Linked DNA regions of Tamandua tetradactyla. The protein of the gene in region 1 purifies or fractionates together with the protein of each later gene. This does not show direct contact. Links are inferred from orthologs where the notes say so. Each region holds a gene or a part of one and is shown on either strand. Other genes may lie near its edges.

Evidence for each region.
Region 2: the proteins of GOLPH3 (region 1) and FAM20B purify together in Homo sapiens (affinity purification with mass spectrometry; 3 studies listed by BioGRID and IntAct, with this or other methods). This does not show direct contact. The link is inferred for Tamandua tetradactyla from reciprocal best matches to the Homo sapiens genes GOLPH3 and FAM20B.

The regions. Positions count from the first base shown.
Region 1 is NC_135335.1:81,767,250-81,782,749, forward strand, and holds the start of GOLPH3 (Golgi phosphoprotein 3), read right to left. Parts: upstream 8,844-15,500; 5' UTR 8,512-8,843; coding exon 8,287-8,511; intron 1-8,286. UniProt on the Homo sapiens protein: Phosphatidylinositol-4-phosphate-binding protein that links Golgi membranes to the cytoskeleton and may participate in the tensile force required for vesicle budding from the Golgi.
Region 2 is NC_135330.1:33,275,554-33,291,713, reverse strand, and holds the start of FAM20B (glycosaminoglycan xylosylkinase), read right to left. Parts: upstream 5,827-16,160; 5' UTR 5,654-5,826; intron 5,194-5,653; exon of another isoform or gene 5,068-5,193; intron 1-5,067. UniProt on the Homo sapiens protein: Responsible for the 2-O-phosphorylation of xylose in the glycosaminoglycan-protein linkage region of proteoglycans thereby regulating the amount of mature GAG chains.

The DNA.
Region 1 (15,500 bases):
TAAAGAGATTGTCCAACTCATCAACAAAAAGACAGCCAACCCAATTACAAAATGGGAAAAAGACTTGAACAGACACTTCTCAGAAGAGGAAATACAAATGGCCAAAAGGCACATGAAGAGATGCTCAATGTCCCTGGCCATTAGAGAAATGCAAATCAAAACCACAATGAGATATCATCTCACACCCACCAGAATGGCCATTATCAACAAAACAGAAAATGACAAGTGCTGGAGAGGATGCAGAGAAAGAGGCACACTTATCCACTGTTGGTGGGAATGTCAAATGGTGCAACCACTGTGGAAAGCAGTTTGGCGGTTCCTCAAAAAGCTGAATATAGAATTGCCATACGACCCAGCAATACCATTGCTGGGAATCTACTCAAAGGACTTAAGGGCAAAGACACAAACGGACATTTGCACACCAATGTTTATAGCAGCGTTATTTACAATTGCAAAGAGATGGAAACAGCCGAAATCTCCATCAACAGAAGAGTGGCTAAACAAACTGTGGTATATACATAAAATGGAATATTATGCAGCTGTAAGACAGGATAAACTTATGAAGCATGTAATAACATGGATGGACCTAGAGAACATTATGCTGAGTGAGTCTAGCCAAAAACTAAAGGACAAATACTATATGGTCCCACTGATGTGAACCAACATTCGCGAATAAACTTGGAATATGTCATTGGTAACAGAGTCCAGCAGGAGTTAGAAACAGGGTAAGATAATGGGTAATTGGAGCTGAAGGGATACAGACTGTGCAACAGGACTAGATACAAAAACTCAAAAATGGACAGCACAATAATACCTAATTGCAAAGTAATCATGTTAAAACACTGAATGAAGCTGCATCTGAGCTACAGGTTTTTTTTTTGTCTGTCTGTTTGTTTGTTTGTCTTTTTTTTGTACTATTATTATTATTTTTATTGTTTTCTCTATATTAACATTCTATATCTTTTTCTGTTGTTTTGCTAGTTCTTTTCCTAAATCGATGCAAATGTACTAAGAAATGATGATCATGCATCTATGTGATGATGTTAAGAATTACTGATTGCATATGTAGAATGGAATGATTTCTAAATGTTGGGTTAATTTCTTTTTTTCCGTTAATAAAAAAATAATAATAAAATAAAATAAAGAATTACTGATTGCATATGTAGAATCGAATGATTTCTAAATGTGTTAATTTCTTTTTTTTCTTTAATTAATAAAAAAAGAAAAAAAATGAGGGAGAAATTAAAACATTTGCAGACAAAAAATCACTGAGAGAATTTGTGATCAAGAGACCAGCTCTGCAAGAAATCCTAAAGGGAACATGAGAGACAGATACAAAACAGGAGAGGTGTGGAGAAGAGTGTAGAAAGGAAGACTGTGAGTAAAGGTAAAAAGAAGGAAAATTAGATATGACATATAAAATGCAGAAGGCAAAATAGTAGAAGAAAGTACTACCCATGCAGTAATAACACTGAATGTTAATGGATTAAACTCTCCAATCAAAAGACATAGTCTGGCAGAATGGGTTAAAAAGCAGGACCCATCTATATGCTGCCTCTACTCAAAGGACACAAGGCCAAGGACACAAATGGACATTTACACACCAATGTTTATAGCAACATTATTAACAATTACCGAGATATAAACAGCCTAAATATCCATCAACAGACAGTTGGCTAAACAAACTGTGACATTTACATAAGATGGAATATTACGCAGCCGTAAGACGGAATAAAGTTATGAAGTATGTAACAACATGAATGGACCTTAAGGACATTATGCTGAGTGTGATTAGCCAGAAACAAAAGGACAAATACTGTATGGTCTCACTGATATGAACTGACATTAGTGAATAAACTTGGAATATTTCCTTGGTAACAGAGACCATCAGGAGATAGAAATAGGGTGAGATATTGGGTAATTGGAGCTGAAGGTATACGGATTGTGCAACAGGACTGAATATAAAAACTCAGAAATGGACAGCACAATATTACCTAACTGTAATGTAATTATGTTAAAACACTGAATGAAGCTGCATATGAGAATGATAGAGGAGGGCTGGGGCATAAATGAAATCACAAAGAAAGATAGATGATAAAGATTGAGATGGCGGGCCACGGTGGCTCAGCAGGCAAGAATACTTGCCTGCCATGCCAGAGATCCCGGGTTCGATTTCCAGTGCCTGGCCATGTTAAAAAAAAAAAAAAAAGATTGAGATGGTGTAATCTAGGAATGCCTAGAGTGTATAATGATAGTGACTAAATGTACAAATTTAAAAAATGTTTTTGCATGAGGAAGAACAAAAGAATGTCATTACTGCAGTGTGCTGAAAACAGATGGTACTTAATATTTTAAAATTTCAACTAATGTGTGAGGCTAAAGCAAAAAATGTTTATTTGGTACAAATCTGTACTTTCACTAGTGCATCTCCTAATACAACTTACGTAGATAGTTGATTGAACACCTTAAGTACATGGAACTTTGTATAGGACATGAGATTTTGTTGGTTTGTCCAGGTGATGCCCTGATGAATCCCAGAGTGATTTGATCAGTGAGTGGAAAAGTATTTGCAAAGTCCCCTTCAGAGAATGGTGAGAATGGAGGAAAACTCAACTTCCCCAAGTTGAATTCTTGATATTCTCACAAGCAGTGTGGACAACCATGGCTATAGGCTGAGCCCCCAGTCTTGGGGTTTGTTCATATGAAACTTAACCCCACAGGGGACAGGTCAAGCCTACTTAAAATCAAGCCTAAGAGTCAGCCCCAAGAGAACCTCTTTTGTTGCTCAGATGTGGCCTCTCTCTCCAGCCAACACAGCAAGCAGACTCACCACCCTCTCCCTCTCTACGTGGGACATGACTACCAGGGTGTGTGGATCTTCCTGTCAGCGTGGGACAGAAATCCCAGAATGAGCTGAGATTCAGCATCAAGGGATTCAGAAAAACTCTAGAATGAGCTGAGACCCAGCATCAAGGGATTGAGAAAACCTTCTTGACCAAAAGGGGGAAGAGGGAAATGAGACAAAGTGTCAATGAATGCGAGATTCCAAACAGAGTCGAGAGGTTATCCTGGAGGTTATTCTTATGCATTAAGTAGATATCACCTTGTTATCCAAGATGTAATGGACAAGCTGGAGGGAACCGACTGAAAATGTAGAGCTGTGTTCCAGTAGCCATGTTTCTTGATGATGATTGTATAATGATATAGCTTTCACAATGTGACTGTGTGATTGTGAAAACCCTGTGTCTCATGCTCCTTTTATCTACCTTGCCAACAGATGAGAGGAACATATGGAATAAAAATAAATAATAGGGGGAACAAATGTTAAAATGAATTTAGTTTGAAATGCTAGTGATCAATGAAAGGGATCAATAAGGGGTATGGCATGTAAAATTTTTTTTTTCTGTTTGTTATATTTTTCTGTTGTCTTTTTATTTCTTTTTCTGAATTGAAGCTAATGTTCTGAGAAACGATTATGATGATGAATATGCAACTATGTGATGATATTGTGAATTGCTGAGTGTATGTGCTGGGAATGTTTGTGTTTCTTGTAATCTTTTTTAATTAATAAAAAATTAAAAAGAGGCAAGGGAGGATTCTTCCCTAGAGCCTTCAGAGGAGCATGGCCCTGCCCACAAAAAAAAAAGTATATGAAGGGAGCGCAGGCAATGGTGGCTCAGTGGCAGAGTTCTCATCTGCCATGCCGGAGACCTGGGTTCGATTCCCGGTGTCTGCCCATGTTTAAAATATATATAAATAAATAAATAAGCAAATATATATATATATATATAAAGGCAATATTTGTATTACAAAATAACTCATGACATTCTTTCAAAACTCAGAAGTCTTTATTACACTTTAAATCTTAGCACATCTTGAAACGCTGAATAAATGTTGAATGAATTCCTCATTTATAGATTTGATATGCAGAGAGAGTGTATATCAATGCAAATGCAGAAAGTAAAGAAATTTTTTTTAAGTTAAAGATCCTGATAAGTATTGCATTTCTTAGTAGTAACCTTGGGATCCTTATTCCAAAAATGAAATACACCTTTGGGAATGATCTTTGGAACCAGTTTAAAAGTCACACAAAATCAACTCCATCATTTTAGTTAAAAATAACTGCTTACCCTAAGTGTGTATTAGCTGGCTTGGAGCATCTACTCATTTTTCAAAATACAGGATCTTGACTGCAAGCATTAAAACCATTAGAGGGCAGGCCACGATGGCTCAGCAGGCAGAGTTCTCACCTATCATGCCAGAGACCCAGGTTCATTCTAGGTGCCTGCCCATGCAAAAAAAAAATTTTTAATAAAAAAACCATAGAAATTGACTCTAGCCATCTTTTAAAAAAAGGAACTTTATTGGAAGACTCTTGAGGTTTACAAAATTGAAAGGCATCTGGAAAATGAGGATGGAGAAAGACCAAGCCAGCAGTCTAGAGAGAAAGAAGCACAAAGAGCCATGTCAAAAACAGTCTGGTCCACATACTACACCACTCTGAATAGGTCTTCAAAATCACCACAGTCTGTGACTCTTTCAAATCACCTGAGTGGAAAAGTCTAAGCCTGACTGCACTTCAAGAGGGAAGGAGATGCTGCAACAGGGCACCCTGAGGCTGAACTCCCTAAAACCAAGACAAAACAAGCGGAGTGATGGTGGAGAGCAAAACAACAAATTTCTCCAACACACAGACAGAACAACCATGTGGGAAGACTATTTCTCCATTTTCACATGAGAACTCTTGAGACTCAGAAAGCTTAAATAATCTGTAAAACAAAGGCTACACCTCAGACAAAGTCTCTTAGCATTTTTGCTATTCCACCAGACATATTCTAAATTCTACCTGGTCATTTAAAATAATCAAACCCAACCTTAAAGGACCAGGACTTGACACCAATGAAAATTTTCAAAAGTAAATGTCAGTTATTTAAGGTAATTCTCAATGAAGCAATCTAAAAATGCTCTGACTAGTGGAAACATCTTTGTTAAAAACGAATAGTTGGGGAAAGGAAAATACCTGGCATTTCTGCTGTCCCTTCTCTTCAAACACAGGAGAGATTACAGAAATCATTCCAATTATTCAGAAGGTGAATTCAAGTTTAAACCTACTATCCTTTTCATTATCATCTACTGATACCCTATGTCATCAATTTTTCACTCCAACTGAGATCAGAATAACGAAAGGCTCAAGTTTCTGTGTTTTATACAAGCCAGAAAGGAAATGATTGGTAAAAATCTGATATGCTACTTAAATTTTTAAAAATCAATCACAATTACCCCAATAGGTAATCTGAAAGCTGGTGATCTACTTATTGGCAAACTGAGCCTTCTGTTCAGTAAAAGAGGAGAAAAAAGTTTTTAACTTGATTCAAGATAAAATCAAAGTAATTTTTAAAATATTATAGATTATAAATGTGTTAAAAGTAAATTGATAGACAGTGAGAATAAGTAAATAACCACCTCACAACATAAAAAAAAATGATATGGAAGATCTCACAATTTGAGCAAATGCCAAACACAAAAGAAAGTATACAAAAACGGGCAAAATTAATCTACGGTGATTCTAAGTCAGGCCAAGGGTTCCACTTGAAGAACAGGTAGTGACTAGAAAGTAATTCAAGTAAGGCCTCTGGAGAGCTGGCCATGGTGTCTTTTACTCTAGGTGCTGGTTAAATGGGTGTGCACAGCTTGTGAAAATTCATCACACTTAGGATAATGCACACTTTTTAGTAAGTTTATTATTCTTCAAATATATATATTTTTAAAAGCAAAAAAAAAATAAATTGATAAGTGTCAGCTTTTTAAAACGTCAAAGTAAAATTAATTTTGCCATTACATAACTCCTCTTAAAACGTTTACTTGTCTTCATTTCAGATAAGGTCAACTCCCACATATACAAAACTTGTCCAACATTAATGACCTGCCTATCCTTAAGGTTTAACTTTTAAGTATCTTAAAAGTGCCCAGATACTACATGGGTGGATGCTAAGTTAAAATAAAGTTAAAGCAGTGAGTTTACTAAGTTATATATTATGGCTAAAGTTTGGAACTTTTTAGTATAAAATTTAGTAAATTAGTATTTAATACTAACAAGCATAAAAGCCTACACACTAGGTAAGAGAACAACTCCCAGTTACAAGTTAAAAACATGGGGGGAAATCTTCCCGAGGAGAAAAACACATGAATAGATGATGGGTTGATAGGACTTGATATGAGTATGTAAAGATGTGACGAAAGGAAAAAATAAAAGGCAAATTCCTGAAACTAAAATCTAAAGCAATACAAAATCTCAACAAAGTCCCCACTCCCTGGGCTTGCCTGTATAAGAAGAAAAAAAATAATTCCATACTGTGGTTGTAAATCAGCAAGAAATGTTCAGAATTATCTAGACTCTGGAACTTAGCCAGGACGTGCAACATATAGTGACTCCTGACACAAACACAACTCATCTTTTTTTTTAAAAAAAAAAGGTATTTTCTTATCATAATTTCTACTTACGTGACTCAGATCTCAAAAGCTAGTTTTTGCTTTAAGTTTTAGTTTTACACACACACAAGATGGATCCACACAGAAAAGTGTCAAAAATTATAAACCAAAAATACTGCTCAGGAATATGGGCGACTTGTGTTCTTTTGTTTTGTATTTTCAAAAACTTCTACAGTGAAGTTTTGTCCCAAAGGAAAAAAATAAAGACATAGAAAAATGTTGATCACCAAGATTCCAAATTGTGACACCTAAAAAGGTAAGTTAAATACTTTCTAATATCACATCAGAAGATCACTGTAGTTCTCGTTTGCGCTTTCATTCACAGAACAAAAGAGGAATTTCATATACTGTCTCCCTTCTATCATCAAGACTCAGTAATTAAACAGGTACTGGATCCCTTTCACAGTCAGAAGGACTGAAATATACCAACTTTTTTCAAAGTGATGAAACACCTGGGCGAATGGGATACCAAGATACTACGAATGTTCTGGACATTTTCATCAAGGAAAACTATTTCAATTCATGAGATTTCCAAATATATACCACAACATCAATATCTAAGAAGTTTCAATGAAATAGGAAGCTTCTTACAATGCTGAAATTCTGTGCCCACCTACGGTGAACTCGGAAAACTTTCTTAAAAATAAAAGAGAACAAAACAGATACTTCTGAGTTTGACTCTCAAAACGTGCTCCACATTCTCAACTTTCCACAAGCTCCTGGGACCACCTCACCATTACTAATTTATGGAATATTCATTCAACGTCTGAAAACGGGTGTATTTGTCTTTAAAAATCATTTTGTAGCTGGAAGAACAAAGATCGGATAAAGCAAATACAGTAAAATATTAACTGTTGAATCTAAGAGGTGAATAAGTGTAAACTGTAGCTTTTTTTTTTTCTTGCAGCGCAGAGGGGTGCAATAACTGGGGTGATGATAATCATTTTATTGTAAGGTAAGAAGAACTATCTTTCGCAATTTAACCTACCTAAGGAATTGAGGCCTTTCATCAAATTACAAACCTACCATTTCAAACACTCCCCGAAAAGGCCCTTCCTTAAAACGGTAAGCCTTCCTTGAGACCAGTCAATTGATAAAAGCTCCACTAAAAGTAATCTCACAACTAATGCAAGTTCAAATAGAAAGTTATTTTTCAGGATCCATGAGAATTTTGCTTGATTTTAACTTTACTCAAAAAAATAACTTTCGGGCGGGCCACGGTGGCTCAGCAGGCAAGAATGCTCGCCTGCCATGCCAAAGGACCCGGGTTCGATTCCCGGTGCCTGCCCACGTAAAAAAAAATACTTTCCCAATTACGATATCACCAAAATTTTCATAATTCCAAACACTACTCCTTGATTAAAAAAATAATAATACCCCAGAGAGCAAATCCACGGACCCCTCCCGGGCCGTCAAACCTGCAAAACCCACGAGGTCCGGACGCTGGTGGTACCAGGTATTTCATTCTAACATCTTGGGGTCTGCACGGGTTGAACACGCGGGAAAAAAGCGAGACAGAAATACAAACTGCTGTTGAAATCGCAGAAGTGACTGTGAAAGGCGGAAGGGAAAATCCAAGGCATCTGCACGAGGAGGCCGGGAAAGCGCCGAGCCAGGCTGGGGGATTGGGGGGGGAGCAGTTACTAACTCCAACACTCCAGGTGCAAGTCTGATGCTGGCTGGAGCCGAGCTGGCAGCTCACCCGGCAGAAGCACGGAGCTCGAGCTGAGCCTCCCACCTGGTGCCCGGACCCCGCGGGCCACCGGCCGCCCTCTGCCCGCCCCGCCGTGCCCGCACCTCTCGGTCCTTGAGGCCCAGCAGGAGCACCTCCTCCATCAGGGTCAGACGCGTTTCCTTGGAGTCGCCCTTGTCGTCGTCGTCCTGCTCATCGCGGCGGCTCTGCGCGTCGTCTTCGCCGCTGCCGCCGCCGCCGCCCGCCGCCCGCTCCTTGTCGGCGGCGTTGCGGGAGGCCTCGGTGCGCCGCTGCACCAGGCCCGAGCTGCGCTGGGTCAGCGAGGTCATGGCTCCGGCCACAGCGCCGAGCCGAGAAGGACGAGGGACCGACCGGGGTTCCCTCCTCCTCCTGCTCCTCCTCCCTCAGCCCCCGACCGGCCTTCCGCGTTATAAACGAGCACTGGGGCGACGTCCGTCGGCAGCGGAGCCGGGAGCAGTCATGGGGAGACGCGCTGCGGCGGGAGCGGACGGGACGAGTGTCGTTGGTAGGTGGGGAGAAGGGCTCCTTCCTTCCTGCGGCCCCAGCCCCCGAGGCAGCCTGAGTTCCGAGGCGGAGGAGGCGGCGGCGGCGGCGGCGCCTGCCCAATATGGCGGCATCGGCTGACGTCACCGGAGTATGTGGCAGTGTCGGCGGCGCGGGGCGGGCCTGAGAGCGCCGGAAGCGGCGGGCGGGACCCCACGACGGGAGAAGACTGGGACCTGCCCTCTCCCGGCTGCTCGGCCTCGGGCTGTCGGCGCGCGCTCTCCTTTTCCGTGGCGTTCCTTTGCCCCCGGGCCTGCCGCGCCCTACCGGTAACGCGTCCTCCCTCCGCCCGCCTCCTCCTTAGCCCCTCACCATTCCTGGCTGGGGCCGGAAGACGGGCAAGGCGTCCCCACAATCGGGGCAAGCGAGGGTGGACACTGCTCAGCCAGACTCGAGTTGTGTTTCTAGAACTCCGGAGAACACAGTCTTCCGAGTTGGATCCCCCGCCGGGGTGGCAGGGCTAGAGCTTCAGTCCCGGAACCGCCCGTCCCCCACCCCCGCCCCCACCCCCACCCCCACCCCCACCCCCACCCCCGCCCAAGACCAAGGAAGGACTAAGCGCGCGGTCTAAGGGTTAAGGAGAGGCCGCGCTCTCCGCCCAGATTTACTGATCCTCCAAAAGAAGCTACTGTGCACAAATGGTTTTAAGGTGGACTTTTAGTGTTTTTAGGCGCATCACTGTATGAAAAGAGAGGTTAGGACAAATTGAATAGTTTTCTTTGTTAAACTTTTCCTTGCTTACCGACGTGTGCTGTGTAGTGACCAGGGCGCAATGAGTACATTTAGTACCGCGTTAATACACTCGACCTTAACGATCCTTTTATAGAGACAATAAACCCGTTGGGTTTCATGCCACGTCTTTCTACACATTGAATCTTTCAGTTTAATTACTTGGTTAAATCCTCTTGGCATGCTTGACAGTTTGCGCCAATTATGTTAAAGAATAGATGTCAAACTTGGAAGCGTGGGCGGGGAGGGTGTTTGAGGGGTAAAAAGGTGACACTTGTAAGTAAAACAGTATCCAGAAACGACATTATATACCATCCAGTTTTATTTAAGATAAACAATGCCCGTAGGCTGTGGCTAGAAAATGGTTTAAATGAAACTGTTGTTGTAAAAGGACTTACACGATAATGGTCCCCCCTGAATGATAAACAGGCCTATAGGAATTGCTGGCTGCATGGTGCTTCCCCCACCACAAACCCATTATCCAGAACTCATTATCACCCTTTACCCTGCCAGGTGAGAATGCTAAATCTCTTCCTCCTGGGGAGCAGGATGTGCACAAAGTATACACACCCTTTTGCAAAGGTCAGTATCATCTCAGCCAATTTCTCCCATTCACATTCTCTTGAGCTCTCTTTTTCATTCATCTTTGCTCCAGTTCTTTCCCAAATGGCTTAAAATACTGGGTGCTTTTATAGTTATGGCATCAATTAATTATTTGACTAATTAATATATTTACACAGTTCAAAGAGTTTAGGAATGTATAATGAAAATCTCCCTCCTCTTCCTGCCCCTTTTCACCCAGTGACTCCTTCTGTGGTAGTGTTAAAATAGTTCAGTTAGTTCTTTGATACTGCACCCTTCAAAAGGTGGAGTGGAGCAAGCTTTAGCTAGATATTACTAATTACCGTGGTTTGGCAAACCCAATCAAAATCATTCCTGTTAATCCTAAAGAACACCTAGGGCTCCATCTGAGGTTCTACAAAAGTTTGAGGTACTAAGATTACTTTCCAGAAACCTACAGCCTCCAGATGTGTTCCTAAGCCACATAAGTCCTGAAACCCAGAGGTGCCAGCCTCTTCAACAACATCAACTACGTCTCTCCCCCATCCCTTATCAACACCCTTTTCCAACATGAAACACATTGAGGAGAGCCTAATACCCCTAAAGATTGGGAGAAGGATCAAAGGCAAAGAAGGAGTTATAACAGAGAAGATAGGATTTAGCGAATTGAGTATGACTGCTATATTGATATTTAGTTTAGTCTCCAGTGTTTGGAGCAGCTAAAGGGGAAAGTGTGAAATTGTGGAACAGTAACCCATACCAAACTCTGAAATCTGTTCTGTAACTACTTGATTCAATGTACTTTAAAATTTATTGCTATATATATATATGTGTGTTTGTATACATGTATGTTATATTTCATAATAAAATATGTTAAAAACAAAAAAAGATGGAGTGGAATTCTCCTCCCCTTGAGTGGGGACCAGACTTGAGTTCCTAGAAATGAACAGAATATAACACAAAAGTCTGTGCATGACTCCTGGACTAGGTCATGAAAGGCCGTACAGATGGAATGGAGTTGTGAGGTGTGCAACTAGGTGAATGAAACTTAAGGACACTCTTTTGAATGAAATGTCAGAAACAAAAAGACAAATAGTATCATACCTCACTCATATGGACCAACTGTAATACACAAACTTGGAGAATTGAAGTCAAGAGCATAGGTTATCAGGTGGGGGCCTATTGTAAAGAGTCCTAGATTGTAAGCTCTATTCAGGAGTTGTAATTTCTAAATTCTGAGATACTGAGCTATTTGTGTATAACTTGGTTGTTCTCTGGAACTTCGGGTATATATGTGACAAGTGAGACTCAGAGCACTGAAGTTATGAAAGTCAGCATTACAGTAGTTACAGATAAGGGTTAAATCATGCAGTGCTGTGAGAATTAGGTTCTGGTGTCACCTTGGCCAAGTGATGATGCTCAGTTGTCTGGTCAGGCAAGCACTGACTTGACCATTGCTGCAAAGATATTTCATGGCTTGTTGATAAACTGGAAGGCTGGTGTATTAAATCATCAGTCAGCTGACTGCATCTGTTGCTGATTACATCTGCAGTCAACTAAGACGTGCCTCCCATGAATGACATAATCCAATCCGTTGAAGGCTTTTAAGGGAGAAGAAAGACTTTTTCACTACTTCTTCAGCCAGTGAGCCTCTTCTATGTAGATCATCCAGACCTTTCATTGGAGCTGCCAGCTTCACAGCCTGCCCTATGGATTTTGGACTCTTCTATTCCCAGAGTTGCATATCTCCTGATGGTTCTGTTTTTCTAGAGAACCCTGACTAATACAGCTATTATAAGATTTTAGTCTTTATCCGAAAACAAAAAGGGAAGGTACTTTTAAAAGTATCCTTTTTAAAAGGATACCTTTAAAACCTCTGTATAAGGAAGGGAGAAGTGTGTACGTATGTTATGTGTGTGTGTGTGTGTGTGTGTGTGATATTGTCAGATTTTTGTTTTCAAAAGCCCAACGAAGCACAGTGTGTTCACAGTGGATTCAAGAATCCAGTTAGTTTTTTTAGTGCAATTTTATTGGATATATATTTACTTACCATTTAATCATCCAAACTGTACAGTCAGCAGCTAACAAGATTATCATATAGTTATGCATTCATCATCACAATTGATTTTTGAACATTTTCATTATTCCAAAAAAATTAAAATAAGATCAAAAATAAAAGTAAAAAAGAACACCCAAACCTCCAATAAACTTCCTTCTCCCCTATTATTTAACTTTTTTTTCTTACCTTTCCATACACTGGATAAAGGGAGTGTTAGTCACAAGGTTTTCAAAGTCACATGGTCACATCTTAAAAGCTGTATAGTTATTTAATAATCTTCAGAATCAAGGCTATTAGATTACAGTTTGTGCTGGTTTGAGACCAATGTGTACCCCAGAAAAGCCATACTTTTTAATCCTGATTTAATATTGTAGGGTGGGATCTTTTTTATTAAGTTGTTTCCATGGTGATGCGGCCCACTCAGTTGTGGGTAGGACCTTTTGATTAGGTGGTTTCCATGGAGATGTTTCTCCACTCATTTAAGGTAGGGTTGCTTACTAGAGTCTTTTAGAGGGAACCATTTTGGAAAAAGCTTCAAAGCTGACACATACAGAGAAATTTGGAGATGAAGAAAGAAAACGTCCCCAGGGAAAGGCATTTGAAATCAGAAGCCTGGAGAGAAAGCTAGCAAGCATCACCAAGTGCATTCCCAGCTGACAAAGAAACCTGAACATGATTGGCCCTTTCTTGAGTCAAGGTATGTTTATCTGTATGCCTTAGTTTGGACATTATATGGCCCTAGAACTGTAAACTTGTAACAATAAATTCTGGTATATTGCATTCTAGCAGGCTTAACAAATTAAGACACAGTTCAACAGTTTCAGGTATTTCCCTCTAGTTACTCCAATATACCAAAAACTGAAAAGGTTTATCTGTATTCTGCATAAGAATGATGCCAGAATGACCTCTCAACACTCTTTGAAATCTCTCAGCCATTGAAACTTTATTTTATTTCATTTCTCTTCATGCTGTTGGTCAAGAAGTCTTTCTCAATCCCTCAATGCCAGGTCCTGGCTCATCCCCAAGGTCATGTCACAAGCTGCCAGGGAGATTTACAGCTCTGGGAGTCATGTCCAACGTAGCGAGAAGGGCAGTGAGTTCTCCTACAGAGTTGGCTAAGAGAGAGAGAGGCCACATATGAGCCAAAAAAAAAAAGGGTCTCTGGAGTTGACTCTTAGGCATAATTGTAAGTAGGCTTAGCTTCTCCTTTGCATGAATAAATTTCAAAAGAGCAAGCCCCAAGATCTAAGCCCTGGCTCATCAAATTGGCAGTCGTCAATGCTTGCAAGAGTATCAGGTCTTCTCCAAGTGAGGAAATTTAATATTTCTACCTTTTCCCTCAGTCCCTCAAGGGGACTATGTAAATACTTTTTAATCTTCTGCCAAGATTACTCTGGGATATATCAAAGTGTCAAACCAACCTGTACAAATCAACAAGTTCTCACTCCCTATTCATGGTTCCATGTAATTATGATGTTCAAAGAAGCTGACCATACAAGTTAAACTGGATAGCGTGATATTGAAAATATGAATTTTTGCACCAAATAAACCACTCTTCTTTTGGTCTCACACAGATGTTGAAGTTTTAAAATTCAATCAATATCCAAATACTGTATGGTCTCACTGATATGAACTGACATTAGTGAATAAACTTGGAGAATTTCATTGGTAACAGAGACCATCAGGAGGTAGAAATAGTGCAAGATTGGGTAATTAGAGCTGAAGGGATACAGATTGTGCAACAGGACTGAATGTAAAAACTCAGAAATGGACAGCATAATACTACCTAACTGTAATACAATTATGTTAAAACACTGAATGAAGCTGAATGTGAGAATGATAGAGGGAGGAGGGCTGGGGGCACAAATGAAATCAGAAAGAAAGACGATAAAGATTGAGATGGTATAATCTAGGAATGCCTAGAGTGTATAATGATAATTACTAAATGTACAAATTTTAAAAATGTTTTTGCATGAGGAAGAACAAAGGAATGTCATTACTGCAGGGTGCCGAAAATAGATGGTAATTAATATTTTAAAATTTTACCTTATGTGTGAGACTAAAGCAAAAAATGTTTATTTGGTGCAAAATTTATATTTTGACTAGTGCATTTCCTAATATAACTTACCTAGACAGCTTAATTGAACACCATAAGTACATGGAACCTTGAGTGGGACATGAGATTTTCTTGGTTTGTTCAGAGTGATGCCCCGATAAATCCCAGAGTGATTTGAACAGTGAATAAAAAAGTATTTGCAAAGTCCCCTTCGGGGAATGGTGAGAAAGGGGAAAAATTCAACTTCCCCAAGTTGAATTCTTGATATTCTCACAAGCAGTGCAAACAACCAAAGCTATAGGCTGAACCCCCAATCTTGGGGTTTGTTCATGTGAAACTTAACCCCACAAAGGATAGATCAAGCCTACTTAAAATTAGGCCTAAGAGTCACTCCCAGGAGAACCTCTTTTTTGCTCAGATGTGGCCTCTCTCTCCAGTCAACACAACAAACAAACTCATTACCCTCCCACTGTCTGTGTGGGACTTGACTCCCAGAGGTGTGGTCCTTCCTGGCAACGTGGGACAGAAATCCTGGAATGAGCTAAGACTCAGCATCAAGGGGATTGAGAAAACCCCTAGAATGAGCTGAGACTCAGCATCAGGGGATTGAGAAAACCTTCTGGACCAAAAGGGGGAAGGATGAAAGGAGACAAAATAAAGTGTCAATGGCTGAGAGATTCCAAACAGAGTCGAGAGGTTATCCTGGAGGTTATTCTTACGCATTAAATAGATATAACCTTGTTAGTCAAGATGTAGTGGAGAGGCTGGAGGAAAATGCCTGAAAATGTGGAGCTGTGTTTCAGTAGCCATGCTTCTTGAAGATGATTGATTGTATAATGATATAGCTTTCATAATGTGACTGTGTGATTGTGAAAACCTTGTGTCTGATGCTCCTTTTATTTACCTTATCAGTAGATGAGTAAAACATATGGAATAAAGATGAATAATAGGAGGAACAAATGTTAAAATAAATTTAGAGTGAAATGCTGGTGATTGGTGAGGGGAAGTGGTGGGGGATATGGTATGTATGAATTTTTTTCTGTTTTGTTTTTCTTTTTCTGAATAGATGTGAATGTTCCAAGAAATGATCATGATGATGAATATGCAACTATGTGATGATATTGTGAATTACTGATTATATATGTAGAATGGAATGATCAAAAGTTAAGAATGTTTGTGTTTGTTTGGGGTTTCTTGGTATTTAAAAAATAAATAAATAATGGGGGAACAAATATTAAAATAAATTAGTAGATTGAAATGCTAGTGATCAATGAAAGGGAGGGGTAAGGGGTATAGTATGTATGAATTTTTTTCTATTTTTTTTCTTTTTCTGAATTGATGCAAATGTT
Region 2 (16,160 bases), on another chromosome or scaffold:
ATTTTTTATTTTTTATTTTTTTAGCCAAATAGGAGATTTGAATGGGGATGTGGTAACCCTTCTCCTTTAAAAATGAAAATAAAAAATTTAAAACTCATACTGCTCACAAGGATTGTTCTAAAAAAACCAACACAGGCAGTGTTCACTGATCTGGAAACTGTGGAAATGCCTAAGAATTTGCCTTCTGCTTTAAATGGGCCAGGTATAATGGAGAACCCTAAGTTCTAAGCATTTCCTACTCAATTGTAAGTATATAACCATCACTTAAGGTTATATTATAGAACGTAATTTTTGTACAGTATAGAAAAATGGAATTCGAAGAATATAACATTTTCCTTCAGATTTTTGCATACCTTCTATTTTTACTATTCAATTCACTACAGCTCTTGGAAAGGTATATAAGCTTTATGCAATACCACCTTACATTTTTAACCTTGTGCTCTAGGGAGTTTCAAGCTACATAGGCCACAGGAGATCACTTTCTAAATAGCAGTACCCCAAGCAGGTCTGTGCTAAAATTATGCACCAGACATGATCCCTTTGTTGTAATATAAAAATGAATATACAGCATGCCTGTCTTTTTTATCATACTGTAAGCTGTTTGAGGATGGGGGTGGGGGGGCAGGGGGGGATGTTTTATTCTTTGTATTTCCAAGTAACCTGGCAGAGTGCAGAACACATGAGAGGTACTCAATAAATGCTTGTTGAACAAAAGGAGTGAAGTAATAGAGAGACCTCTATGTTGTAAGAATTTCTTCTGAAATGTTAATTCTTTGGTTTAAAGAAGGCCCCTGTTACTGACACGGGAAACTAAGCTCTATAACTAATTGGGATATACAATACAGCAAAAAATAGAGAAAGATCTTACATGCATACCAACATTATACAATTTAAAATTGCTGCCTTCTGCATACCCTTCTTCCATTTTTTAAGGCCACTGCTATTGTCAACCTGGTTCCTGTAGTTGTCTGGGACAGGGAGCAGAGAGGAATGGATATGATCCAATACACTACCCAAGAATGATATAAGACAGGGTTGGAACCAGATCTTCAAGGATTATTTATTGGCAATGCTTTCTGAAATAAGAACCAACACTGGTACTTCCATACTATTTTCTTTTTTTCTACAGAAGGAATATAAATGCATCTAGACAGAGTACAAATTCGCAATCTAAACTAAGGATGGGAAACAAGAAAAGAACAAAAAAGGCCTGTAGGCAGTCAAAATAGTAGTTATAAAGTTCTTATGCTGATACTCAGAGAAAAGCCAACAGACCCTCTATTTAGCTGTATAGCTGCTTTATATTCAATTTCAGGAAGCAGAATTGGTCCCTACTCCACAGAAGATCAGAAGCTGCAGATTTAAGAGGGCAGCAGGGCGGGCCACGGGGGCTCAGCAGGCAGAATTCTCTCCTGCCATGCTGGAGACCCAGGTTCGATTCCTGGTGCCTGCCTATGCAAAAAAAAAAAAAAAAAAAAAGGGAGCATCAAGATACTAACAACAACAAAAGTGCAGCATTCCCACTGCTGAAAAAAGAGAAAGACTTACTATAAAAAGCAGATGCAAGAAGACAAAAAGCAGAGGGGTCAAACTGCATTCATATTTCAATCACCTCAAAGTATTGCTTGATTACTAACAGTAATGGATGCTAGTAATCCTAACCTGAGTCTAAAAGAAAGATTAAACTATATTGTTTTAAAAGAAAACTAAGTATGTAATACAATAAAATTTTTTTCTACAAAAGTGTAGTTAAAATAAGAATTTTGGCACATAATCTCTTATTTCCTAACATTAGAGAAATGAAACACTGCTATATGCATAAATCAGAAAGTCAACATTTAAGAGCATGGAATGACAGACATTACTGCCTCACCTGTATCTGTTTCTGTCCTCTTTACATATTCACAATGTCACATTCCTTGATCTCCAAATTAATACATGTCTCCCTAGGGCTGTTACCTTGCTGGAAAGTACAGACCCCAAATATGCACCAAAACTCAATGCTCTTTTCTGTATCAGCCTCCATTTCTCATCTCATACTAGAAGACCAATGCATCCCGAGATTCCAGGTCCGAAGTGAGGCACTTCTTTTGTTTTTGTTAAGAAAGACAAAGTAAGAAGTGAGATGTTTGTATTACACTTCTTCTCTAGTTTGCAAGCTGTCGGAATGCGATATACCAGAAACTGAATGGCTTTTAAAAAGGGAATTTATTAAGTTGCAAGCTCACATATTCTAAGGCTGTGTAAGCGCCCAAATTAAAGTAAGGCTATAGATATGTCTAATCTAAGGCATCCAGGAAAAAATACCTTGGCTCAAGAAGGCCAATGTCATTCAGGGTTTCTCTCTCAACTGGTAAGGCACATGGTGAACACGGCAACATATGCTAGCGTTCTCTCCAGACTTCCTATTTCATGACGCTCCCCGGGGGCATATTCCTTATTATCTCCAAAGGTCTCTGGCTGTGTAGGCTTTGTCCATTCTGTTGGCTCTTGTGGCTCTAAAGCTTTTTCCAAAATGGTTCCCTCTTAAAGGGCTCTAATAACGAACCCTACCTTGAATGGGTGGAGACACAACCACAGAAACCATCTAACCAAAAGTTATCACCCACAACTTGGTGGGTCACATCTCCATGAAAACCATCAAAAAGCTCCCACCCAGCAATACTGAATGAGGATTAAAGAACTTGGCTTTTCTGGGATCCACAACAGATTTAAACCTGCACAACTTTCTTCTAGGTGGTTCCAGCAGCCATGTTGACATTGTAAGTGGTCAGAAGCTGGGTTTCAGTTGCAAAGTAAGGTCGTCTTCTCTACATCCTAGGTCCCTGCTAATGAATTCATGTAGCATCCTTGAAGAAGCTCAAGGAAAGAAAAGAGGAAAAGATATATACATATAGGAGGAGCTGCTGGATAAGCACCTTCAGGAAGGATAACTCTCCTCTCCTACCCTCAACGTGAAGGAGTAGATGAGCAGTCAGGGTCAACTCTACTGATGAGCCAAAGATTCTTCTATTAATGCAAAAATACTGACTGCTAAGTTAGCCTAGCAAAGGCAGGCTAAAGGAGCAAGGGTGTGAAGCTGCACCTTACCTGAGCACCAAGGGCTGTTCCTAGACCTGACTGTGGCTAGAATACTCTACATGCATAGAATTAATTCTCAAGGCAGCTCCAGCAAGTACCAGCCTTTATATATACCCATCTCAGTAGAATATTTTCATCAGGAATTCAAACCACATTTTCTTGGTTTTGTTTTGGCAAAAAGCAGAGCTAAACAATTTAGAATATAAACTAGAATATATGTCCTTCCCTCATACTGTTTTCCATTTATTCTTTCAACTAACAGATGTTTCCTACATACCTACTACGCACAGGCACTGCTAGGTACGAAATAAAAATGTACTAATTACCGTACTCCCTACTCTAATCACAAAACCACCTGGCACTTAATCCCAAGAATGACCTGCCATCAAGCTTCAGAAAATGGGTTCCTTTTTATTGTTACTGTTACCACAGAATACATAGTGCAGCCAGCCTCCTGCTTCTATTATGAGACTGCAGCAATTACCAAGAGACAACCACTGTGGTTCGCTATTCTAAAAAGTTATCAATTAAAGAGCTGAAGTATATGGCTTCAGGGTTTATATCAATGAAATAATAGTCACCCAAAGTGTAGGAAGCTGAAGGCTGTACTGAAAGTAAACTAAGAGAATTTCATTCAGGAATTCAAAACTCAGAAAAGCTAAAATGAAGAAATGTCAAGGCTGTGTTGGGAGTCTCTACAAATGGAAATCAAGAGAATGGACTAAAAATCATGTAATAACATAATTCCATTATATAAAGGATTATGAAAAAATAAAGACAGAAACTGAAATTTCTGTTTGTTCCTTAATCCAAAGTACCCAGAAAGAAAAGCAGTGCATGTGTTTGTCTTCTTTAACCAAAAAACTGCTATTTGTATTAATCCAGAGAAACAAACACAAGAATCGATGTTACATTTTCACCAGTCATGGAGAAGGAAAGATTCAAACTCCAAGATTTCCTTATCACTGTTTACCTCCATCCATTTATACGTCAGCACTTTATTTAGCAGTGAGAGTGAGAGTCTGAATTATGTGCTTGTGCCTATTTATTTTTCTTTGATAGCACTTTAAAATGTGGAAAGGCCTCCTGTTGACTGGTTCCATTGTATGGTTTTAGGGGCCAAAGTCCAACATCTTCATGAACTTCAGCAAAGTTATTACTGTAAAACACGAATTTAATTGTAAATCTGCCTTGGAACAGCAGAGTCTAGGCAAATACTTTTTTAGCAGCACCTTTAACACCTATACCTCAATGCCTCAAAGGCATGTCCTGATAACAATATATATGGAAGCGCTCTCAGTCCCTTAGCTCAAAGGCTCCGCTTAAACTCCAGGAACGTTCATAATATGCAGCACACTGGGGTCTCTTAACCCCATGAAAATAATACAACCCCATTAAATTTATGTGTGAGTCAAGGAGGAGAGTCATGGCTAATAAACCACAATCTTAACTTTACCAATCAGAGATGTGTAAAGTCTTAGATTTAAAAGCTAAAAGACCCCACAGTCCAACCCCATCTTTTGAAGGTGAGAAACCAAACCTCCAGGAAGAAGTTGGCTGGGTGGAAATGATACTGACACCTGGCCCTACCTAGACTCATTGAAGTCGTAGTATTAAGCATCTCTCATTTTCCCAAATTATAAACTCATCCATCCAAATGGTGATACAGCCTTTAAAAAAAAAAAACTAAGTAATAATTCCATAAGGACCAATCTTGTTCCCCCCACTCTCCCTCCAACATCCTTCAACCCCTTGCGTCCCTACCAGGAGACTTGCAGGTAACCGAAGCCTGATTAGAATGACTCTTTTATCAGACCCCACAATCGAGGACACAGCTTGACAACTGTTCACATTCATCACTAATGTAACATTTTGGTCCGTTTTTAATCGCAGGGCCATCGCACCCGGAAATGAAATCTCAAGCGCAACCCACTTTGGAGTACCATATCATTTCCTTAAGTTGTGACCGACTGAGGGGGGACGCACCATGAGGACACCGCGGACCCTTAGGCACTGTCGATCCCGCCTCGGGCCTGCAGGTCACTCGCGCTTCTCGGCCACGAGGGGGTCCGGGTAGGGACCAGGCGGGCGCGCGCTCCTCCCCGGGCCGCCGCAACGGGCGCTCGGCGGACCTCGAGGGTGGCACCCAGGCCAGGCGGCTCTAGGGACCCCGCCCAGGGGCGAGAGCTAGTCACTAGCAGGACCTGGGCGACCCGAGGTGTCCCCAAGTAAGGCAGCTTCACCAACGTCCCGGGCCCAGGAGACGGCGGCCAAGGCCGCGTCCCTTCAGCAGCGACCTGCGACCGTCCGCGGGAGGCCACCCCGAAGCCGATGGGGCCGGTCTCTGAGGCAGCAACGGGATCCCTCCCGGACCTGCTCGCCAGCGCTCAGGGACCGCTGGGGGTACGGAAACTCGGCCCCTCTGGGAGGCGCTCCGTCCTCAAGCGGCCCCCGCCCGGTGCACGCCACGCACCGCACCCCGCCCGCGTGCCCGCCCTCACCATCCCGTCCCGCGGCCGCGGGCGGGGGTCGCGTGTCAGCCCGCGTCAGCCCGCGTCCCCACGCCGCTCACCTGCGGGCTCTAGGCTCGCCCCATGGCCTCCCGCGCCGTGCCGTGCCCTGCGGCACGGCCCCGGCCGCCCCCGCCGCCTCCGGGAAGGGGCAGCCGTACGCCGCGCTCACAGCCCCCAGCCGCCACCGCCACTGCGGCTCCCGCCCACCTCCGGCCGGGCCATTCCTAGGCCACCTCTCCGGGCGCTGAGCCGACCGTCCCACCCCCACCTCCTCAGCCCGCCACCGTTGGTACCGTCCTAGCGTAACGCCTTCCCGGCGACCAATCCTAGGGCTCAACCGGCGCGGCCCTGCCCCCGTCCTCCGGTGGGCGGAGTCTGCCATTTCTGTGCAGTTCGGCCCCCCCCCCACCGCCTCCCATCCTTAACCCTTTCCATCCCGGCTTGGCGCCGCTTAACTCTCTCAGCTCACGCTTACCTTCTTTTTCCCGCCCCGCCCTGCTTACATCAATCGGCCTTTCACCTCTCTCTTGCCTTTGCTTTTTCCCTTCCTGCTTTTCTTAAGCAGGTAGGTAGCCAGGCAGCGGGACTGGACATTTGGGATTGCCCAGGCCAAGTGCTATTTATGAGAGGCAATTTCTCTCCTTTTGCCCCTTTCATTTATTTGCTCGGATTTCTGCCTGGAGGTTCTGCCTGTATAAATGTATCCCTCTTGCCTGAAAGAGGCCACCTGTCATCCACTGAATACAGATTTCTTTTTCCTCAGACCAGAGCGGAGCTCCCTGATACATGCTTTTAGGAGTATTTAACGAAATAGTGATTAGTTTACTATATTATCCGTTTTCAGCTTCTATCTATTGCACTAGTCTAGGACACTGGTGTCTGGTCTCCAATGCTCAGCACCCAGTAGGTCTTAATAAATAGCTTGAAAGATTCTCCTTCCCCTTAATTTTTTGTCCCAATTGACTCCATATAGTGCATCCACTGTAGAAAGCATTCATTCATTCATTTACCATCTGCTAAATTTGTAGATGTGCCTGATCAGGAGTATTAGAATGCTCGTTGCTCCATGGGATAAGATGTATAATGGGGGGAGGGGAAAGATCACGCTGTCATTTTTTCAGACTGTGTAGTTAATTTAAGCATCAGGATAGAGTGAAAAGAACTCTTCCTTCCTGGCTGTATGATACTGGATGTGCCACTTGACTTTTCTGAGCATTTGTTTCCTTATGTGAAAAATGAGAGTTAATTGTAGTACCTACTTCACTGGGTTTTCATGCAGATTAAATTAGGACATATGCACAGAAAGTACATGGCAAATTGTTGTGCAATGTTAGATGTTGCTTACTTATGTATTTATTGAATCAGAAGATTCTAGAAAAATAATTGGATTTGACTCTGGCCCCAGCCCATCAAGTTAGGGGGTAGTTCCTCTATAGGAAGCATTAATCACTGCTAGAAAGGGGTGAGCTTTGTATCATTCTTCTACTGGATGTAGTTGAGGGTCATTTTCTACCACAGAATACGTAAACCATGGAAAAATGAGCTGCATGGTAATAAGTGTCTACTTTATTTAGCTACACATGAGCATTGATCTGCTTGCAGTCAGCTAATCTTCCTGAACCTTGCTCACTATCATCAGGAGATCGTGAAACAAAAGGGCAAATCAAAGTCTCCTCTAAGACACTCTTCCAAAAAGACTTTACTTTCTTGCGTATAAGGCTGACAGGAACAGCAAGGGTAGACTTTCCAGCTGTCACTGGTCAGAAAACTATCTTGTGGCTTCAGCTTCCTGGACAGATGGGCTCCTCTGTCTTTAAGAACTTTCAGAGAGGACAGTTCATGGGCTCTCTAGGCAAAAAAAAGTTCAGTATTTAATAGGTCCATATTACATGCGGCAGGACAGACACCTTCCTCATCTTCTGTTCTTAGAGAAGAAGAGTCATGAGTTTAAGATCTCTGTGCAAAGGTTTGGACAGCAATATTGTTTGTTCCCCGGTTTTCTCTTCACCAGGCTCTTAGTGAATATATTCACAGCACAGCACAGCACAGTGTCTGATGCTCCATGACCTTAGTTTCTCTCCCCTCTTCCTGTGAGGAGTCTTATTTTCCAACCAATCAATGGTCAATATATTCTAGGTATTCTGAAAAATGCCATCATGTAAGACAAGGACTTTACCTTGAAAGGATTTGCATGACTAGCACACAGGAAACAGTTGCAAGGAACATGGTACACTTAAATTATGCAGCACAGATTCCGTGATCCCTGAAAGAATCAGAGTCTAGGAAGATGGTGTGAGCTAGTGTTGTCAAGTAGAGAGCTTGAGGTGAACAAAGTATGGGTGGGAGAAAAAAATGGAATATGAGCCAAAGTCAGGTAGTGCGATGTGAATTCAGAGACAGACATGCAGCAGATGATGCATGATGGGAGAATTGTTCATTCATTCATTTCATGAATGTCCATCAAGTGTCAGGCACTGAGCTACACTGGGGCCATACAAAGATGAAGACGGCCTGGTCTCCTTCCTTGAGAGGCTTACAGTCCAGTTTTGGGAAATGGAAAGGAAGGTCAGGCAGAGGCATCATTAGGAGAGGCTGAGTACTTTGTCAAGATTTCATGACACTGCCTCACTGTGTGATGTGTTGTGATTCTAGGAGTCTTTGCCTGATCTCTCCTTTTTCCCTGTCTCCCCAGTCCCCAAGCTGCAAGACTTTTTTTTTTTTTTTTTTTTTTTTAAAGACAGAGAGAAGGAAGGAAGGATAGAAGGAAGGAAGGAAGGAAGAAAGGGAAACATTTTTAAACATTTTCTTGTTTTATTGTATTCTGTTTCTCCGTTTTTGTTACATGGGCTGGGGCCGGGAATCGAACCGAGGTCCTCCGGCATAGCAGGCAAGCACTTTGCCCGCTGAGCCACCGCGGCCCGCCCAAGCTGCAAGACTTTTAAGGATACAGACTGTGACTTTAATTTCTTCTTTAGTTCCTTCGGTGGAATGCCTCTCTCAGAGTACCTTCTCCATACTCCTGCTTTGAAGTGCATTGAATTGAAACCAGGGCAGTATTTTGGCTAGTCCCCTCCAGCCAAAATGGGTTCCTCGGAGAGGAATCATGGTTCTTACCCCCCAGTGCCGAACCTTCCAGGGCCTCCGGAATTGAGTAGAAACTCTTCCACTTAGCATTTACAGTCCCACTCCACCTTTCCATTTGTTCTTTGCATACATCCCTTTTCCCCACCCCAACCCCATTCTTTCTCCTGGATTCACACCTCACCCCTAACTCCAACCTCCACCTGAAAAAGATTATGTATCTCTCAAAAGCCACTTGCTCAGGAAACCTCTCCTTCCATTTCCAACTGTGCATTCTTTCTTCCACTTCTGAGACCCAGCACTCTATTTGTATCTTTCCTGTGATATCATTTATATCGAAGGCCTTGGGGAAAAGGCCCTGACTCCCCTTCCACTGATGGTAAGCCCCTGAGGCCAAGGAGTATATTTTATTCACATATACATCTTCTGTAGTGCTAACTCTATATATCATACATGTTAGACATGCAACACTTGAAAGAAAAGTTTTAGGAGAACAGGTCCACTGGGGTGGGAGACTAGGAGCGCTGCAGGTTTCTTTCTTAGCCACTTTGTCATTGAAGGTGTTTTCTTTAAACGATTTCAGAATTTCCAGGTTCCTGCCAAATTTTCAAGCCCCTGGACTCAAATAACAGTCTGGCAATCCCAAAGAATAAGGGGAATGCTGTCTCACGGCACCTGCACACAGACATAAACATATCGACAGCTTCTTTTAACCCCATTAATACACCTACAACGATGGATCCCACTGAAACTAATTAAGCTAATTCTACATCAAGAAAGTTGAGCAGAGTTTTAAGAAAGCTTAGGCTGTTCCAGGGTGCTAGGAGCCTGGGAGAGGGTGGCCAGGCTGGTTAGTAAGTGAAGGAGCACATGACACCGTTTCCAGGAGCATGTCCTCTGCCATAGTTGTGTCCCAGTCCCCGGTACTCCAACCCAGGCAGGTTTATTCTCTGCATCCGGCACTGTGGACAGCTGCTTCTGTATTTCTTTCCTACCTGATCAAACTCCTTTCTCTTGTTTTGTCACACCCTCTGCAGAGCTACGCCCAGCCCTTACAGAAATGGGACTGCCCACTTAACCCTTTACCTGGCACCTCTGTCGGTGCCAACTTAGTGAACCTTTCAAGTCCCAGTGACAGCATAATAAACCTCGTAAACACGCAAACACAGAACCAGCTTCTCTACCAAGAAATTTAGGATGTATATTCTGAAAGTGGTGGACATCCTTCACTTATTTTTTTCTCATTCTACTATGTATGTGTATATAGCTGTCAGAGAGAAAGAGAGAGAGAAAAAGCAGCTTTATTGAGATATACGTTACAAACCATAAAAACCACTTGTTAAAAGTGTACAATTTTAGTTTATTTATGAAGTTGAGCAACCATCACCATAGTCTAATTTTAGAATATTTTCATTGCTTCAGAAAGTAATAGGGCCTTATTTTTTCTATTTTTAAAAATATGCATCTATTTAGTTTCTTTTTCAAATCTGCTCATTAAAGCAAAAGCAAATACATTAAAGGGATAGGTTGATCTTTTAAACTAACACTAATCCTAGAGTTAGTAAGAATGCAAAGGAGTTATGGTTCTCCAAGCTGTGTCTCTCTCGCTTTTTTTAATTTTAATATTTTTATTGTAAAAACTGAACATACAAACATTCTTGACAAACATACATTCCATACATGGTTTACAATCAATGGCTCACAATATCATCACATAGTTGTGTATTCATTACCATGATCATTTTTTTTGAACATTTGCAACTTTCCAGCAAAAGAAACAAAAAAGAGAAAACTCATACCTCCCTCTCCTTGACCACTAGTTATTTCAAGCTTCTCAATTTATTTTAACCTTTGTTCCCCTATTATTTGTTTTTTTTTTATCCATATTTTTTATTTATCTGTCCATACCCTAGGTAAAAGGAGCTTCAGATGCAAGGTTTTCACAATCACACAGTCACATTTTAAAAGCTGTATCATTATACAATCATCTTCAAGAAACAAAGCTACTGGAACACAGCTCAACAGTTTCAGGTACTTCTCTCAAGGCACTCCAATATACCACAAACTAAAATGGGGATATCTATATAATGCATAAGAATAACCTCCAGGATAATCTCTCGACTCTGTTTGAAATCTCTTAGCCACTGAAATTTAATTTTGACTCATTTCTCTCTTCCCCCTTTTGGTCAAGAAGGTTTTCTCAATGCCTTGATGCTGGCTCCCAGCTCACCCTGGGATTTCTGTCCCATGTTGCCAGGGAGACTTACACCTCTGGGAGTCATGTCCCACGTGGTGGGGGAAGAGGAGTGAGTTCACCTGCCATGTCAGCTTAGAGAGAGAGGCCACATCTGGGCAACAAAAGAGGTTCGCTGGGGGTGACTCTTAGGCCTAATTTCAAGTAGGCTTAGCCTGTCCTTTGCAGGGGTAAGTTTCATAGGGGCAAACCCCAAGATTGAGGGCTCAGCCTGTTGATTTAGTTGTCTCCACTGCTTGCAAGAATGTAAAAACTTCTCTAAATGGGGAAGTTGAAATTTCCCCCTTTCTCCCTATTCCCCCAAGGGGACTTTGCAAATATTTCTTTATTCACTGTCCATATCACTCTGGGAGTGGTTGATGTCAAGGTAGCTCAGTGGTAGAATTCTCACTTGCAATGTGGGAGACCCAGGTTCATTCCCGGAGACTGCACATGCCAAAAAAAAAAAGAGAGAGAGAATTTCAAATCACTCTGGGATTTTGTTTCTTTGTTTTTTAATTATTTTATTTTATATATGAAACATAACCACATACAAACACAAACATTCTTACCATATGATCATTCCATTCTTGTTATATAATCAACAACTCACAATATCATCACATAGTTGTATATTCATCATCATGATCATTTCTTAGAACATTTGCATCGATTCAGAAAAAGAAATAAAAAGAAAACAGCAAAAAATTCATACATACCATACCCTTTACCCTTCCCTTTCATTGATCACTAGCATTTCAATCTACTGAATTTATTTTAGCATTTGTTCCCCCTATTATATATTTATTTTTAATCCATATGTTTTATTCGCCTGTCGATAAGGTAGATAAAAGGAGCATCAGACACAAAGGTTTCACAATCACACAGTCACACTGTGAAAGCTATGTCATTATACAATCATCTTCAAGAAACATGACTACTGGAACACAGCTCTACATTTTCAGGCAGCTCCCTCCAGCCTCTCCATTATACCTTAATTAAACAGGTGATATCTATTTAATGCGTAAGACTAACCTCCAGGATAACCTCTTACTCTGTCTGGAATCTCTCAGCCATTGACACTTTATTTTGTCTCATTTTGCTCTTCTTCCTTTTGGTTGAGAAGATTTTCTCAATCCCTTGATGCTGAGTCCCAGCTCATTCTAGGATCTCTGTCTCACGTTGCCAGGAAGGTCCACACCCCTGGGAGTCATGTCCCATGTAGTCACTCTGGAATTTATCGGGGCATCACACTAACCTGGACAAACCAACAGAATCACATGCCCTATTCAAGATTCCATGTACTTATGGTGTTCAACTAAATTGACCATACAAGTTAAATTAGGAAATGCACAACCCAAAATATAAGTTTTGCACCAAATAAACATCTCTCCCTTTACTCTCCCACAGAAGTTGAAGTTTTAAGGTATGGAGGATATCATCCTTTATCCACTCTTCTAATATACCTTGGTCCTATCCAGATCAGCTTCATTCATATCTCTACTTGATGTCTGATCACTTTTTCAACTTTTTAAACAGTTCCTGTTTGGGGTACTACTGACTTTCATCCAAACTGTGTCTCTCTTAACCGCCATGTGTGGCAGCAGTAATTGCCCGTTCCAAAATCTCTATTTTGTTGTGGTATATTCTCTTGAATGAATGTCCAGGGCCACGTTTGTGAATATTTTCCAGTATATTGTGCTTTTCTCTCATTACAGTAGGCTCTTCAATGGGCTTGTCAGAGACAATATTGCAAATTCCAGATCTCTCATTCCCACAAGGCTGTAACTTCGTAATATACGTAGGATGGTACAGCATATGTGTGGGAATTTAATACAGTTTCTTTGTGGGATGGAAGATCTTTCGTTTTTATTATTTTGATTTAATGCATGAAATAATTAAGACTTGTGGGTCAGCACTGGCAGCTACATGGAAATTCTGGGTTTCTCAAACTTCTCTTAGTTGGGACCTTCCTCAGAAAGCCAGGAAGCCTCCATCATCCAAAAGCAAGTTGGTAAAAGAAGTCTCTTTGAGCCTCTTTCACGACTGATTCAGGGATGGGCTAAAGCGGCTGTTCTCAGTCTGGCTGGAGGGGAGTTTTTTAAACATCCCTATGCATATCCCGATGCCTGACCCCATCCTCGGAGACTCTAGTTTAATTATTTGGGGTAGGGTCCTGGCAAGGGAAGTTTTAAAAAGTTCCCAGATCATCCTAATTTGCAACCAAAGTTGCAAACCTCTGTTCTACTAGGGATTAAGCCAGGATCACGTTAATCAATTGAACCACATGAAATTGCCATTTTTATAGGCCTGAAGCAGTTGAATATTGGCAATTTCATATGGGCCAATCTAGTATATGGGCAATCGATTTTTATTTTGGGCAGGAGGTAGATTGGTCTTTTGAAAGGCCCTCTACCAGGAAACCAGTCATTTTTCTCTAAACTACCATCTTTCAGCGAGCAAGGGTAAGAAGATGTCACAGGGAAGCCTGTGGCCTGTGCAGTCAGATGCTGCCCTCGGAGGACGAGACCCTCTACAGCTTTCTTTCCAGTGAGTCTTAAACAGTTGGAAGCCCATGTCTTCTGAAGGGAAATGAGCAAAGCAGGCCAAGGAGGACGGAGCCGGAAGTGTTAAGGACACAACACAAATCAAAAGACAACCTGGCCCCATCTTCAAGTTGAGGCGTTTACATTCAAGACTCTATTTCTCAAATATAGAGTGGGCCAAATGAAACACATCTATGGGTTGAAATCTGGTTCTCAAGCCTGCAGTATGTGGCTCTATCCTAGAAGGTAGATGCTTGTGGAACAGGGAGGTGGCCCAGAGCAGGGGAGGACGAGGTGCTTTACACAGCAGGAGTCCAGCGAGGAAGGATATAAACAATCCGCAAGGCCACATACATCTGGCATCACTGCTGCTTGCATTCTGCTGGATTTTGTTCCTTCTTGGGGTCATAATCTGGATCATTTTCCTCACTACCAGGACTGTGCACTAGGGGCCCTGTGGAAGAAATGGGAATGTATGAGCCCTGGACAGGGAAGTACCAAGGGGAAGGAATGCACGGCACCCTGCAGGGAGTATGCAGAGATTTTTAGGGAGGTCAGCAAAGCCCTGGTCTCAGTGGTGGTCACTGACGGCCCTAACTACAGGGTCTCAGATGCTGAGGCATCATGGCAGCGTAAAGTGCCTGTATTATTTTTCTTTCCTTCTTTTCTTATTAGAAGTTGTAGGTTTTACAGAAAGATCATGCAGAATATATAGAGTTCCCATATTCCCACCCTCATTTTTTAACATGTTGCATTAGTGTGCTACCTTTCCTAGAGTTGATGGGAGAATGTTATTATAATTGTACTATTAACTATAGTCTATAGTTTACATCAGGATACACTGTTTGCGCCGTACAGTCCTGTGGTTTTTTTTTTAAAAAAATGTTGTTCTAGCCACATATATGCTACCTAAATCTTTCCCCTTTTTTAAAAAATTTCATAGCTGTACTTTAATGGTTACAGGACAAAAACCCTCTGCAAGAACCAAACTATGTAAATAATTAATGAACATGTTTGAGAGAGTCTGTGCATTCAACATATCTGACAGAAAAACTATAGTTAAAAGGCTAGGTAGAACAAACTGGTCTTCAAAAATATGAGTTCCTTTCCTTAAAAAAAAATTACCAAGTCTACCAAGAAAATGCAAAACATAAGGCTGTAAGTAAATAATAGTCGTGTTTAGGCTATTACAGGGCAGGTTATCCGCAAGGCCACATACACCCGGCTTCACTGCTGCTTGCATTCTGCTGGATTTTGTTTGTTCCTTCTTGGGGTCATAGTCTGGATCATTTTCCTCATCTCCTTCTTCTTCCCCTCCCTCATCTGCTTCTTCACCTTCATCATCATCATCATCATCATCATCTTCAATAGCTTCTCCAGTAAAGCAGCACACTGATCTTGGGATTATACGCTCATGTAAAAAGTGACCAATTTCCAAGTCTGCAGCAAGGATAGCTTCAGCAGCAGCATCCAGACCTCCACTCTCGGGAACTTCAGGAGGGGCAAAAAAATTAAAGAAAGAGTCATTGGAGACGGTTTTAGTCACTGTACGAACTGTCCCATGTCCCTTGTGTTTCTGTTTCTTCTTGATGGTTTTCAAAGTGACATTCTTTCCTTTTTTCCAATCTATCTGAACACCCTGTACAAACCATAATGTCTGGTCCATCAAAAGAAAAGGGATCAGAATCATCTGGTTCTGAGCTCATCCTATATGTCTCTGTCAACACTTCATTTGTGAAATACTCATTGGGTTCAAAGTGAAATTCTAAGACAAAACTCATAGGCTGACCAGCATCTGAGAACTTCACTTTAATATCCTTCAAGTGCTTCAGAATAGGTTCACCACATTCCTGAACCATATCCCTGAGCAGGGCAACATTTTTTTTTTTCTTTTCGCATGGGCAGGCACCGGGAATTGAACCAGGATCCCCTGGCATGGCAGGCGAGCACTCTGCCTGCTGAGCCACGGTGGCCCACCCCAAGTCAACATTTTTAAAAACAGTCAACCAAAATTCAGGAATTCCTTGGGGATCTTCTTTTTCTTCATCCTTTTTCTCCTCTTCAATCTTGGCCTTTTCCTTCAGTTCCTCCGAAATCGCATCTTCCTCATCTGGTTTCCATTCACATTCTTCTTCCGCAGGTTCATAAATTGCATTGATGATCTCAAATCGCTTATCAAATACAGGCTGATAGGGAACAGCATACTTTCTTTCAAGATCATGTGCTTCCTCATAGAATTTGGCTTCTCTCTGTGCACACTTCACTTGAAGGTTTTTAACGGCATTCACTCGTCTTTTCACTACCCTAGGCAAGCGGCAGCTAGTACGGGGAGCCAGGCGGCCGAGGCTGTGCAGGCAGTGACTCAGGGTGGCAGCCCCAGAGGGAGGAGCAGGAGGTGGCGCCGCGAACAGATGGCACTAAAAAAGCTAAAACTTTCCCTTTTCACCTCGTCCACATATATAATTCAGTGCTGTTAATTACATTCATAATGTTGTGCTGCCAACACCCCTGTCCTTTACCAAAACTTTTCCCAAACTGCAAACAGAAACTGCATCAATTAAGCATGAATTCCCTGTTTCCTATCCTTCCCCTTGCCCTGTAATCTCTATTCTAGTTTCTGTCTCTATGATTTTGTTTATTCTAATTATTTCTTATCAGTGAGGTTATACATTATTAGTCCTTTTGTGTCTGGCTTAGTTCATCCCA